Tribolium castaneum: one gene and its partners. The main gene of each other region encodes a partner of the protein of the gene in region 3 in a complex. Links are inferred from orthologs where the notes say so. Each region holds a gene or a part of one and is shown on either strand. Other genes may lie near its edges.

Evidence for each region.
Region 1: PIG-F (region 3) and PIG-O share a complex: the UniProt entries of both Homo sapiens proteins name them as parts of the ethanolamine phosphate transferase 3 complex. The link is inferred for Tribolium castaneum from reciprocal best matches to the Homo sapiens genes PIGF and PIGO.
Region 2: PIG-F (region 3) and PIG-G share a complex: the UniProt entries of both Homo sapiens proteins name them as parts of the ethanolamine phosphate transferase 2 complex. The link is inferred for Tribolium castaneum from reciprocal best matches to the Homo sapiens genes PIGF and PIGG.

The regions. Positions count from the first base shown.
Region 1 is NC_087396.1:20,516,370-20,521,864, reverse strand, and holds the start of PIG-O (GPI ethanolamine phosphate transferase 3), read right to left. Parts: upstream 3,455-5,495; 5' UTR 3,307-3,454; coding exon 2,758-3,306; intron 2,710-2,757; coding exon 2,429-2,709; intron 2,323-2,428; coding exon 581-2,322; intron 1-580. Other genes in the region: trafficking protein particle complex subunit 13, read left to right, coding at 3,654-3,687, 3,735-4,113, 4,166-4,380, 4,466-4,692, 4,902-5,002, 5,076-5,334; TTLL12 (tubulin--tyrosine ligase-like protein 12), read right to left, coding at 5,378-5,495.
Region 2 is NC_087396.1:8,431,958-8,436,709, forward strand, and holds part of PIG-G (GPI ethanolamine phosphate transferase 2), read right to left. Parts: intron 4,408-4,752; coding exon 2,639-4,407; 3' UTR 1-2,638.
Region 3 is NC_087396.1:23,483,310-23,487,610, forward strand, and holds PIG-F (phosphatidylinositol-glycan biosynthesis class F protein), read left to right. Parts: upstream 1-1,795; 5' UTR 1,796-2,098; intron 2,099-2,145; 5' UTR 2,146-2,160; coding exon 2,161-2,832; 3' UTR 2,833-2,871; downstream 2,872-4,301. Other genes in the region: Dab (protein disabled), read left to right, coding at 27-290, 410-1,362; calcium-independent phospholipase A2-gamma, read right to left, coding at 3,142-3,636, 3,685-3,876.

The DNA of each region.
Region 1 (5,495 bases), about 3.0 Mb from region 3:
ATAAAAAATGCCATTCAATAATGCAAGAAAATATGGGGTGTTGCATTTGAAAAACTCGAGTTATTGCCATTTGTAGTTTGTCATTTTCAGAAAATCGTAGTAGGCGATGGAATATCGACTCCGAGTCCGCTTTTATTGTAAAAGAAGCCCTAGAGATTAAGGAATTTACTGGAAAAAAATTAGTTAAGTTATCTTAAATGGTTCTGACGTTATAAATTTTTCCGTAGGTCTTTGCACGACGCTATTTTTTCAAATGTCAAATAAATTGACATAAGTTAAAAACTATGACTGATAAGTTTATAAAATCAGGTGCGTTGGCTACGATTTCAAAAATGTGCCGAAAGGTTAGAGTTTTCATAAAAAAAACAAATTAATAGCTTGCACAGAAAAAATTATGGAGCATGCACGCACCCCTGGGTCACCCTGTATTTAATCAAACGCTGAATGATGTGTGATTATTAGTTTTAGCAGACTCACCTTGTAATGAACGCACAGTTTTGTATAATAAAAAATTAAAACACTCAAATTAAACAAAGTGTTTTAGAAAAAACATTGTATTTAATTAGCGAAACTGACTTACCCATAATTGTGGCTTTCTCGAGCCGGATAATCGACGTAATAATCAGAACAAACGCCGACGCCAGAAACATGATAACAGTAGCCGGGGCAACACCATCCCCATGAATCAATGCGAACAAATGCGTCAGAAAAATCCCAATCGAGACAAAAACGGCACTGTAGGCAGTCCCCAGCCCGCACAAAATCGGGACATCATCCCGGCTTTCTTCATTGAAGAGCCTCTTCACTTTGTGGAACAAATGCGGGATGATATTCTGCCCCTCGACTGTCTTTTCCTTCGGTAAAACGTAAACGCACAATGGCTTCAAAACCACGACCAAAATCCCAACAAACGAAACACCATAAACAGTCCAAGCCAAAACATTCGCCTGCCAGGGCCGGATCGCCTTGTTCTTCGGATCACCCGGGAGCCGGTTCAAGACCCAGAAACCGCTCGTGCACACGACCAGAACCGTGGGCGCGTACTTTAGCACAATCACCGTGAAGTTGTAACCGTTCAAGTTGCCACAATTTCGCAGCCAAACTTTGGTGGTTGTGACAAACAGGGCCAAGGTTATGAGAGTGGTGATCCACTGGAGTTTGGTCGTTTCGGCTTTAGAGGTGAACGAATTGTACGTTTCGTAACACCAGGGTTGCTCTAAACGGTCGCGACAGCGCCAGAAATACATGGAAATGCGCACAAGCACCAACATCCCGAACGCAATTAACAACAATCGCAACTTCGGTCTCGGGATTTTTTTCTTTGTTTCTCCCTGACCGACGCTCAAACTCCCAATCAAAATAACCGTGGTTAGGAGAAACAGCAAAACGGACGACTCCTCAACGACAAAACTGTTGGAAAAAAGGCCACACAAGTGGAAAACGAGCACCAGCCGGCAGATTAGATTCGGGATACGTTCTTTCTTGCTCCGATCGTACCAGTTGAGACTGATCAACTCCCAGTTTTGAATCACCAGCATGCCTAGCATGAACTGGGAGACCAGTCCGGTTGAGAAAAAAATCGTGGATGTGAGACTTGAAACGTAGGAAAAGTGGTACAAAACAATCGAGACGCAAACCGCAACTAACAAAACAAAATAAGAACAAGTGAGGAACGAACTCATGAAAATCTCCGGGAGGCGGTTGCTGGGAATCCCGTCAGTGATCACATAGACGAAAAACATGGACAGGAACAGGAACAACAATCCACGAGTCATCGAAAACGAATCGAACTGGACCCAGACTTGCTCGCAAGTTTCGCGCAATTTCCCCAAAAAAACCAAACACTCCTCTGTGAAAGTCGCAAAGGAGGGTTGGTCACTGACGTGGAAGAGTTTGCTGTTCAGGAGGGCGTAGTTCTCGCGCAGGCTTTGCAAAGTTGAGTCGCTGAAGGTTTCCGGGGCCGATTTGGCGTAGTGGTCGATGTAGGTGAGCATTTGTTGGGCATTTGCCCATAGGTGGAAGAGGGACCATTGCCATTCGGGCACTTGTGAGTTGTTGAGGAGCGGAAGGGCGTCCAGGATTACCGTTCCGAGGTTTGAGAACGGGATCGAAACGCCGAAAATTGAGGCAAGGGTTGGGACAAGGCTGACTTGGCGGACGGTGGCGGAGGCGTGGAGGGAGGAGAGTTGGGTGTGGGAGTACACGAAGAGGGCTGAGGTGACTTCGTCGTCGGCGTCGCCCCCGTGGTTGCCGGTTTCGGTCATTCCGTGGTCGCCGATCACGAACAGCATTGTGCTGGGGTCTAGTCGCTCCACAATGCTCCTGGAAACAAAAGTTGGGTGAATAAATGCAAAAAAAAGCGAGTTAGGAAAAGTAAAAACTAGGTAAAATATTTCTTTTGTGATCATTTTTTGTGGTACAAACTTACGCAATCACGGTGTTCATTTCTGTCAATTTGCGCTCCATCTCCGAATGGTTGGGGCCGTAGCGATGGCCACAGTGGTCCACCCCCAAGTAATGTGCGATCAGAAAACTCCAATCATTTTTTGCCAATTCGGGGTAAAGGTGGAAATTGACTCCGTCGTCAACTGTGTCCAAATCCCAGACATCGAAAGAGGGATAGGGGTATTTCCTGAGAAATCTGTTAGGGTAGAGGCCGTCCCAAGTGTCGTCGCCGATCAAGACCGTGCTCAAGTTGTGCCTCAACAACTGAAACTCTCCTGTGATTTTAAACAATTATTGAAAATAGTTACAAACTTGGTCAATGATATTATCCTCGTTGATTTCATTCGTGGCAAAATTGGAGCCGGCGTCGATAAAAGTTGGAAGACTTCCCGTCGTTAGAGCTTTCAGTCTTTGCATTGTGGTGGTCGGGGGGTCCGCTATGAACTTATACAGCCGCGAATTGTCCGGTTGTTGCTTCAGCAACTCGTTTATAACCGGCAGCTTGTTTTGGAACGGCAGAGGGTTTTTTAAATTCTCGTCATAGAGTGCAAAGTCGTACCGCAGAGCGTCGATTATCACGAAGACAACGCGCGCTCTTTGGGGCAAGCAAATATCCGAAGCGCTGTTTATGTTTTGAAAAACATAGGATAGTTTGGTGTCGGCACTGCATTGCTGTTCGTGGGCACTTAAAGTCGTCGATTCCTTGTGAATGCACGGGATCTCGGACAGGGAGAGGCAAGTGGAGTTGGTTGTTTGGGCATTTTTGGAGAGGAGGAATCCGCGCGAAAAGAGCAAAATTGACGAGACTATCAAGTACGAGAACCATAGCATGAACAAGAAATAGCACCAGTGTTTGCCCATTGTGCACAAGTCATTTAGAAAAGTCTCGTTTGGTTTAATTTATAATTTTATCACTAACCCAACTTTTGAAATGTCACACTCCCATTGGGCGCTTTAACTACTCACTCCCTTTGGTCTACTCTCATTAACTATGACCAAATGGGAATGACCAAAAGTTTGGCCTCACACGGCAAATTTGTAAAATTGTACCATATTTTACGAAAATACGAATTTCTAAGGCAAACAAATTAATTCAAAAAATTAGGTCCGAACCACCGTAGACCTTATTCTATGACCGTAGACCGTTCACACCAACTTGTCAGACTGACGTTTAACCAAACAAATAACCTCCCCTAATTTTGCTAAAAATGGAGCCAGAGGAGCACTTACTGGCTTTGAAAGGTGCAAATGAGAGTTACCAAATTTTTGGTTAATATCTGCGGTTTTAGTTATGCGTCTTACGCGCCCCACTCTGGCCACTCCTCTGCCAGTGACTTGCGACAGCAAGGACTTGCCCGGTAATTTGCTAAATGTTGCCCTTCAGCAGGACGCTGCGTCGGTTAAAGGCACCGAAACGTTGTCTATAGGCCAATTTTTGCTGCTACCTCAAAGTCCAGTTAATATTTATTTAGGCGAAACGTTTTCTAGCTACATTTGTGTGTACAATGAGACTCAACACATTGTTAGTAATGTTAGTGTTAAAGTGGACTTGCAGACCACTTCTCAGCGATTGCCTTTATCCTCGAATCCTCCAACCCCTCAACTGACCCCTGATGACACTGTTAATATTGTTATCCATCATGAGGTCAAAGAAATTGGAAATCACATGTAAAGTCGCATTTATTTGTGCAATCTTTCACTACGAGTGGTTGAATTGTAGTTTGGTGTGTGAAGTGTCTTATCAGAACGCAGTAGGAATTCTTAAATCGTTCAGGAAATTTTTCAAAATTCAAGTACTTAAGCCGCTTGACGTCAAAACGAAGTTCTACAATGCGGAAAACGACGATGTTTATTTGGAGGCCCAGGTGCAGAACATCACCACAGGCCCCATATGTTTGGAAAAGGTGGCCTTGGACGCGTCCCACCTCTTTAAAGGTTCATTTTTTAATTGTGATAAGCAACCTATGTTTGTGAAATTACGTTGCCAACTTATTTAAGAGCACATTTGTTATTTTTGCAGTTACGTCCTTGAATGTGACACCAACAGGTGAGAGCATTTTTGGCAAAACAACCCTTTTAAACCCTCAAGCTGTTTGCCAATTTTTGTACTGCCTATCACCCAATGAAAAATTGTCTTCCGATTTGAAGAGTTTAAGTGGGGCCACAAACATTGGCAAGTTGGATATAGTGTGGAGGTCGAATTTGGGCGAAAGGGGCAGGTTGCAGACAAGTCAGCTTCAAAGAATGGTAAGTTTTTTTCAAAACTTGCCACATAATTTAAATGTAATGATTTATTTAAAATTCAGATTGAAAATTCTTCAAATACTTTAGGCAAAGTTAAGCAAATGCTATTGAAAATATTCTTTGAATAATTGTTTTGCTGTTTTGTGTTCGTAAGTGCTTAAACGTTTTCCAAATTGACTGGCGTGAAAAACTGCACTAACGAATTTTTTCAGGGACCTGATTATGGTGATATAAGATTATCGATTACCGAATTACCTAATTTCGTAGTCTTGGAAGAGTTGTTTGCGTTCAAATGCCGGCTGGTTAATAATTGGTAAATATAAAGTGCTTTCATTAATTTGTCAGCAACGTGAGCTATGATTTTAAAATTGTTTTTGGCATTTTAGCGAAAGAAGTGTTGAGTTAATGATGTATTTGGATAACTCAGATGGCTTGGCTTGGTGTGGCATTTCTGGCCGTAAGTTAGAAGTGTTGCCACCACACTCCACCCGAGTTTTAGAATTTAAAGCAATCCCCCTTATTCCGGGCCTGCGAACCCTTTCCGGGATCAAATTAGTCGACACGTTCCTCAAAAGAACTTACAACTACGACGATCTAGGTCAAGTCTTTGTGATAGTTAATGATAATGTTGGAAAAAGTATTTAATAAGTTTATTTAAAATAAATTGTTTCTTTAACAAAAATAGACTTTACAATTCGATAAACGCATCGGACGTTTCATCCAAAAACAGCAGCTTGAAAATATCGTTATAAAAGCCGGGATAATACTGACATGCCCGTTGGCAGTCTGGAGTCCAGTTAATTTCC
Region 2 (4,752 bases), about 15 Mb from region 3:
ACCTTCTACCTCATGTATGTTTACTGTTGAACATTCGCCATGGCCTACAAGAATGCTTACAGGGTGGCCGACGGGGTACTTACCATATTTGTTTATGAACGGGTACAAATGGTACAATGAACAGACGTCAAAATACATAATTTTTTCATTTTCGGCGCAATTGTAATGTAGGCTACAGGCATTAGTTCTACCATCAAAAAAACTATCACGGGGATTTGACGGTACCTGCATTAAATTAGGGTGATTTATTATAAATTGTTTGATTTCAGTATTATCTTTTAATAATTTTCGAAACTGACATTCCCAAATTGATTTTAAATTATAACCGCTTGCTCTTATTCGCTGTTCCTTATGTAATATATTTACTCGACGTATAAATAGAGCATCATATTTGTCTGATAAACGTGCCAGCTTTACATAGTAGCTTTAATTCATAGAGGTAAGGAATGGAGAAAAATAAAATCAATTATATGGGTTTAAACATTTATTTATTTCTTAAATTCAATTATAAACATCTTATGAGCCCTGATAATAATAAACAATCTTATTATTCACATTCCTCTTAACATTAAAGGGTAGCTTTAATATGATTTCATATAATACGCCATTATCATCGTACAGTTCTTTAATTACTCTAAAAAGTATTTCATCATACGTATTATTATTCTTACACACCATAGCCAAAGTAACAGTGTTAATGAAATTTTTATATAGGACCCTTATTAATTATCAACGTAACGTCGTATATCTGCTCTCGAATTTTTCATGAATTTCGAAAAGTGCAGTGACAGGAAACTGATTTATAACAAAGCATAAACGCGTAAACCCTTTAGTTTATTAACCCTATCTTAAAATGCCTGATAGGTCAGAATAGCGCCACTTAAAATTCCACGGACAGATGTTGTTATGAAAAAGATAGCACACTAAACTTATGAATCCTATCTTTGAATGGACCCTTACTAATTACATTAACATAATGTCGACTACCTGCTCTCGAATTTTTCGAGACCATATACCGCAATGTAAAAAGTACAGCGCACATAGCTTATGGTAGTGCTCAGCTCCATTTGCGTGTGCGTCATCTGACATTTCTGTCACTACGTTTACATAGCAGGGCATAGCGGTGACAAACTATCAAATATTTTTTGCGGTTACGAAGTGTTTAAATTATGAGTTGTTACAAAAAAATACAGATTCACAAAACAAGAACTAATAAACGCAGAATCAAAAACCTAACGAAACGCAAATCACAAAACACAATAAACGAACGGAAAATACTTGCGATTAACACCGATAACACTTTCGACAACCATGCGACGACGTCTATAATTTACTGTCAATGTCAGGTTGACAAATTCGTGACACTTGACGGTGTTGTCGAAGTGCACAAGTAAATTAATGTTCAAGGATACCACCCTTGGATAGCCCTTAGCTGTTTAAATTTGCATTGTTTTTGGTAAGTTTTTTATAGCTTTGTGTTGGTAATGAAAAAATGAAATTGATGACGCACATGCAAATCGAGCTGACCGCCACTATAACAACGAATGACATTGCTAGATTTGCGCCGTTGCTATAACAATACCGATTTGTGCCGGTCGTAAGGTCTGATTCTGTGAGCCTAATTTCAAGTTGACTTACGACCGGTGCAAATCATGATTGACATAGCAACGGCGCAAATCTAGCAATGTCATTCGTTGCTGCTATGCAACTACGACCCGCGCAATTTTGCGACCAAACTTGAAATTAGACCCTGTGTCCCATTACAACCAGAGACACATCATTTTGACAGTACTCAAATGTGAACCGTTGGAGATACATGCGCAAACAACAATTTTTTTTAATGATTCAGACAGTAATATATTTTATCTTTCTTGATTGCTTGTCAGCGCTTCGGTGATGTTACCACTAACTAACATCACTACTCCCGGCTTTTTTTGAAGAGTGAACACCCCTTGCTATAAATCTATGGCGCAAACGAAGCAAGCATGAGATCCAATTCCAGCGCGACTTCGATTTAAATTAAAAAAAATATTTTTTTTATTAAACAAAATATTGTATTCGTTATTCGTTAAAAATGTTTGAGGGGGCTTAGCCTCCCCTGCTTCCTCTGAGAAGCCGCCACTGTAACGGTAAGTAATTTTGTGGACGCCTTGGACCTAGCAACCGGTAACCATAACCTGTTGTCTTGACAATTATTTTGACATTATTTAATAAGAATTTAAGAATCGTGCAAAAAACGCCAAAAGCATCACGAACGTTAAAGATTGCCGATCTCAGACAATAATTGGAGTCGTCGCTATGCTCCTCCTCCAAACAATTGTCTTCAATCGGTAAAATCTCCTTACCGTTCTTGATACTTATTTCATTGCTTATCAAATCCCCAATTTAATTCTACTGCCTGAAAATATTAGTAAATCTAACTTTGTTTGAACTTTGGGTTGGGAATGCTTATGATTTGACTTGGTTGGAAACTTGTGCCTTTATCAGTGACAAAACAATGAATGGTCAGTTTGACCCTTCACACAGCCATATTTTTAGCAAAATTTTTTAAACGATCTTTAATCTGAGGATTAGATTTATAATAAAATAAGACAAATTTTCAAATTTGTAACAGATGTTTTATTAAAAAAACACAATTTCAGTAACAATTTTTTTTTATTAAATCTATTAAATAGTAGCAAGATACTTCAACAAATAAAAAGAAAAAATGGCTTGCCTCAACAAACATTTTTGGGGCAAAAACTGACCAAATAAACAAATGGTGTCTGTGTATGAAAGTTACTATAAAAACTAGCACAACAATATATAATCTAAACAATATAAAAATAGACAGACTTTTAAAAACATTTACCTTTCTGTTTGTGAAAAGTAATAAGTGGCTTAATACTGGGAGGGCATATGTGTGACACAATACTTGAGGAAAGACTAAAAAAGGGTTATACTCGTGTAATCCAATATAACCGCTTGAAATATCAACACTTGCTAAACTATTATCATGCCCTTGAGCAAAAAATAACAAATTACCTAACCACCAATGGGCCATCGTTAACGTTTCATTTTCTAAAGCTTTGTGGAAAAGTTGACTACCTAATACACACAATGGAATAAGTATCACATTGTAGGGCTTAAGTAACAAACTAATAAGTAGTAACCAAACTAATGCAAAACTTTCTTTGGTTGATACACAAAGTAGAAATTTTATAAAAATTAGAAACCACAAAATTTGGCCCAAGATTATATTCACGAACACTGAGCGAAAGACATAAATTAAAATTAAGACTAAAGCATCAAGAAACTTACTCAATTTCGTTTTTGCAAACATAATGGTACAAAGGTACGAGGCTGCTAAACCCGAAATAAAAATTACTTGCAAATATAAATAATTTTCGTTTTGTAACAACCAGTCAGCTAAATCCGGCAATGCAGCCCATTTATCACCAACTTGGTTAAGTGTGCGAACGAGTCTGAGTGCTACAAAAAGCAAAATCCAGTATTTCCCTTTAGTTAAAATATTAAACAAAATAAAAGTGTTTGTAAAAAAATACCAAAATTGGTGCTCTTCTTCCAAGTAACTCGAGGAGAGGAAAGACAACGGATGCACAATTGACATAAACATCAAAAAAGATTTGTTAGCGCACTGCAAATGTTTTGTCTCAAAACACGCAAGATTTCTAACAACTAAAAATAATATTGTCACGGTAAGTAACATATCCATGGCAACGTGAAAATGGGCAAACTGTAAAAATAGCAGTGCCAACATTGTTAATTGTTCGAAGCGATCAGTTTTCGGAGAAACCCCGAACAGTTTTTGGATTACTTTTAACAAAATTACAACGGTTGTAGCAGTTGCGACAATCAGAGATGCTGCGTTTTGTTGAATTGAAAGTTTTTGTAACGTTTCGCTAATTTTTCGTGCACAGTTTTCGTACAATTGGGCCGCGCTTTCGGCCAATTCTTTTTTCTGATTAAGTAGAAATAGATCGAAAAGATGGTCTGCAGTGTGAATTGTTTCTTCGCACAAATCCAGCTTATTTGTCAATAAAAAGGTGTTGTATCTCAAAGCTTGTAAAAATTCTGATTGTTGCAAATGAGACAACAGACTTTTGTGAAGTTGGCCAATGCTAGTGGTTGGAACATCGAAATTTTGTAAAATGGCTAAATTAGCGGGAATGTCAATTTGGGCAAAAGAGTCATTAATGCAAGGCACACCCAAAACTATAAAGGGGACGTTGGTTTCAGGATGTGTGGAGCCCCCATGCCCTCCGCTGTCTCTCATTCCGTGATCACCTGTTACCATCAAAATCGCGTCGGTTTTGTAGATTTCTTCTATAACGTAATCCATTTCTTTGAGTTTGGATAAAATAAGCGGAGATTTGGGACCGTAGACGTGGCCTATATGATCCAAACCTGCAATAGTTATTTAATCAACCAGTGTCTTAATCACCAACAAGAGTTGATTAATCAGATTAAAACAGGTGTGTTGTGAATCTTTCCAATAAAGCTCTGAAGACTTAAAAAAAGCAAAAATAATAAACACAGATTTGTCACAAAATTTGTAACAAAATTTCGCGAAATAATAATTGGTTTCCGGATAAAAAAAACTATAAACAAATTGGTGAAAAATACAGAATAGCTCGTTTTAAAAAACGAGCTCAAACACGCGAATGGTGATATTGATAAGAGATAAAAAACATAAATGTATTAAAGTCATTAATAAAGTATTGTTCGAAACAACTTAATTTTTAATATTTT
Region 3 (4,301 bases):
TATGTTTTTATCCTCTTTATTTCCAGAAAAACCTGTAAACAGATACGGTAGTAATCGCTGGACGAATATGGACGGTCCTCCCGGAATGTGGCGAGAACGCAAACACGACGAGCGTTATTACAGTCGCGAATCACAAGAATCTCCCTGGGAAGACGAATATTCGAACGAAGCCGAAGAAGTTTCATCCTCTCATTATTTAACAGCGAGGAGAAACTGGAAGAGGCCGAGCAGTGCGTCGGAAATGGACCGAAAAACAGGCGAGATCAAGTCGCGGCATTATTTTGGAGCAGGTGCGTATTTTTTTTTATTTTCTCTTTTCAAGTGACCTATGACTTTAAATTAAAATATAAAATAAAATAAACAAGACTTTTTTTAATACCTTTTTTATTTTAAAATTTTTTTGTGTTAGGAGGAAGTGACGGGGAGAGGGACCGCCGGTACAAACCCGGCCGCCGCTCCCGCAGCCGAGACTCGCAATATTCGGAGTCTTCCCACCGTCACAAGCCAGAAGGGGGCCCCACACTACGCGGCTCGCACCGAAGTAAGCAGTACGCGAAACAATTCGAAGCCGATTTCGCTGAAATGCCGCCAAAAAAACAAGTTGATAGTACCAAATCCGACCACAGCAGCAATAAGAAAAGCGCCACTTTAGCGAGCAGAAAGAAAAAGGAAAGCCCGAAAGCCGAAGTGAACATTGTTAGCACATTCCCTCGGAAATCAACATCGCGTGCGAAATCGTTGTTTGAGAACGATTTCGTGCCGTCTGAAGACAGTCCAGTGAGTGGGCGTGCGGATGCGAAATTTAGCTTTGAAAACGATTTCGAAACGTCTGAAGCCGAATCTCCGACTGTTGTCAATAAACCGCTGAAAGGGTTGCGACAGCAGAGCATGTTTGAGAAAACAGATAACGAGTTCAGTAAAGAGAGTTTTCGGCAAAGGTCACTTAAAGAGTTGAAATTGTCGCCTCGGACGCACCCCAAGCAGAAATCTTTATTTGAAGATGATTTTTCCCCAAGTGGGAAACCCGACCCGTTACCTGAAGACAGTGGCATATCAAGCATCAAGGAGGAGGCGGATCCCAACGATAAAGAAAGCTCATTTAGCACAAACAATGCAACGAATTCTCGGAAAAAGAAACTCAATAAAAATAGGCTCTCCAATAACTTTCAGTCTGATATTAATATAAAAAAGTCTGAATCTGTAAATATTTTCGCGCGGGAAAGCGATCCATTCGATGATGATTTTTTTAGCGAAAACGTGGCTAGTCATGACGGACACCACCATTCGGAGACTTCTCCGAAAACGACGGATCTCAAGTGGACTGATGATTTTGAAGATTTTGATATTGAAGAAAAAAACTGAGCGATTTGATTGTGCACTAACGAGGGCCTCACTCAAATTGCTTCCTACGTCGTCTAAATTAATGTTATTGTTACATAATATAATGCTAGAAGAGCTCGTACTAAGTTAGATGTATTTATTTATACTTAAATAAGGATTTTTAACTATGTGATTCTATGATTCCATGTCAATGCGAACTCTTCGCATGCGTACCGCCAGTGGAAGTTTGATTTGTAAATTAATCCTTTTTTCACTGTAATTTCTACCTCTGTTTTAAATATATCAACTTTAATTTATTGTTAGCCGGGCCCATTATTTACAAATTGAAAACATTGCCACCTTGTCTTAATTTTCATTGTTACAGTGTTGCAAATCGCTAGAAAATAAGTTACCGAGTTATCGCCAACTGAACATCCCGTATAACCAATTCGTGATGTTTTTAAAGAGCATTAAAACTCAGAAAGAGATAAAAACATTGTTAGGTCGAATTTCTGCGTTTTCTAAGGTGAATCCTTAAAAAATCGATTAATAGATTTTGGGGGAAATAACCAAAGGTTGGCGATGCTTAGGGAATTTTCGCACACATATATAACCTAACATATTCATTGTTCTTGAAATAGTTGAAATTATGTGAATTACAGCCCAAACTGTTGAATTTGGGTTGAAATGAGAACTATTATTATTTAAACAGTGCCATGCTAGTTAAACGGCGTTAATCGCAAATTAAATTTTTATCTCATCTCTTGTGACTGTGACGGTTTGTTGATTCTTTTTTTGTTTGAGCAACTAAAACTCTGTTTTCAGACGGCTAGGCCCAAAATGCCGGTGAAATATTTAACCCCCGATTATTCGCAAACACTGCGCTGGAACGACATCCTCACCTCAATGTACTTACTGCTATACTTGAGCTTTTTGTACTACAACAACCTGATTTTATCAATTGGACACTCGGACTCCCTTTACAACATCCTAGGCCTTGCGGCTTTGGAATTTATCAAATATTCGTTTCACGTATCTCGCACAAAAACCAGCTTTTATAAACACCACGCCAAAGACTTTATAAAAAACGTCCTAGTCTTGTTGTTACTCTTTGCCACAATTTACGTCGTTGCTGTTTTGTTCGGAGCGCCTATTCTTTCCGATTTTGAAGAAACTTGCATGTTTTCGTTGATTGTTACAACCTTTACTGCGCTTCCTCTTTGCTTGTATTTTGGGGGTGATAACACAGTACACATGTTCTTGTCACTCGCTTCGTATGATGGTAGCGATGTCCAGAAGTTGTTTATGCTGAAATTGAGGTTGACTCTCTTTGGGGCCTGGCTGGGGGCCATCGTCATACCACTGGACTGGAACAGGCCGTGGCAGGACTGGCCCATCCCTTGCAGCGTGGGGGCCATGGTGGGCTACATGGTCGCCAATTTTGTTACCTCTCTGCTCCAACACCAGTATTTCGCCAAGTTTATCAGAAAGACTGGAAAATATATGCTATGAGTTGTGTTACGCTTAAAATAAATGTCGATTTTCGTTAAATTTGTTTCTGATTGCGTTTTTTGACCAAGCTCTGAGAAAAAAATCGCCCACCAGATATGACAGGGAAGAAAACAATTTGTTACTAAAAAAATTTATTTCAAATTGTCTAAAATAAAAACAGTTCTCCTTAACTTAATAATTATCACAACCATTTCTATCACTAATGGTAGAAGTCGCAAATTGCAACCGAATTGTTGTAAATCTATTAAGACAAATCGAATACAAAACCTAATTTTCTAATCTAAAATAATTGATAATACTCTTATTGTGCTACGCCGTGAGTAACGTTTGCGGCACCCGTCTGAAGCCCCTTATCTCCTGCTGCAGACTCAACCAATCAATGGCTTTCTGACTTAGCGATTTCTCCTGGAGCAAAACCCTTGCAGCTTCGTGAAACTTATCCTCGTTCCGCCTCAAATACATGACAGCATCCCTTAATAACTGCTCCACTTTTTTCGGATCAATTTCCGCAATATCCAACATTTCGGTCAGATACGGATTGAACCGGTAGTAAATACTCGGGGGCAGCAGATCTGAGAGCATTGTGTGCACCCCTTCTGTGTCCGTTGCGCTCTCAATAATGGCATAGAACTTGCTTTTCCACGACGAATTCCGGACCGCTTTCTGGGTGTTGGGGTCGACGGGCAAGGGGATGGTACGGCCGGTGCCAAACGACAGCACGCACTGGATGGGGGCTTCCGGCCAGAGGAGTCTGGCTTCGTGGATTGCCACCGCCGTTGGGTTGTTGAATAAAATACCGCCGTCCTGTATATTTAAAATTTAGTTACATTGTAAATGGTTGGTTGGTGGTACCTGGTGCAGCATGTTCTCCAATTTGAATTCCTCGAAGTAAGTTGGCGCTGCGGCCGATGCCCTCACCGCTTCCCAGATTAAGTGTTTATGGCTTCCCAAATATTGGGACTGCACACGACATGGTAAAGAATAGTTGCGAAAAACGTAAGCTGATAGTCTTGATTGATTTACAACAGCTGATAACACGCAAAGCTGCAAAAATTGGATAAATCAGAGGGCTGTGACTGCAGTTGGGTTGGCAACACCTAGCATAGTGCGTAATGTTATGTTGGTAACCACGTTGGTAACACCGCCAATTTTGCACCTGTCATGTTTTGTTGTCTTGTTAAATTTGAACAAAACTTGTGTTAAAGTTGGGTTTATTGTTGTTTAGTGTCGTTTCTAAAGTGTTAATGATTGAATTTAGTGTGTGTGTTGGTGTTTTTGGTTATTTGAAGGCATTAAAATGGTAAGTGCAACCCCAGTGTGTTGAAAAACACCATTATTGACCCTTATTACGGCTTTTGAAGGTCAACAATGGTCCTTTTCAACTTTTCCAGCTTTTGTACTGTTCGTGCGGAGTGTCAATGTTGCCAACTTAAATCTTTTTTTTTTAATTAACTATTACTAAAGCGTAC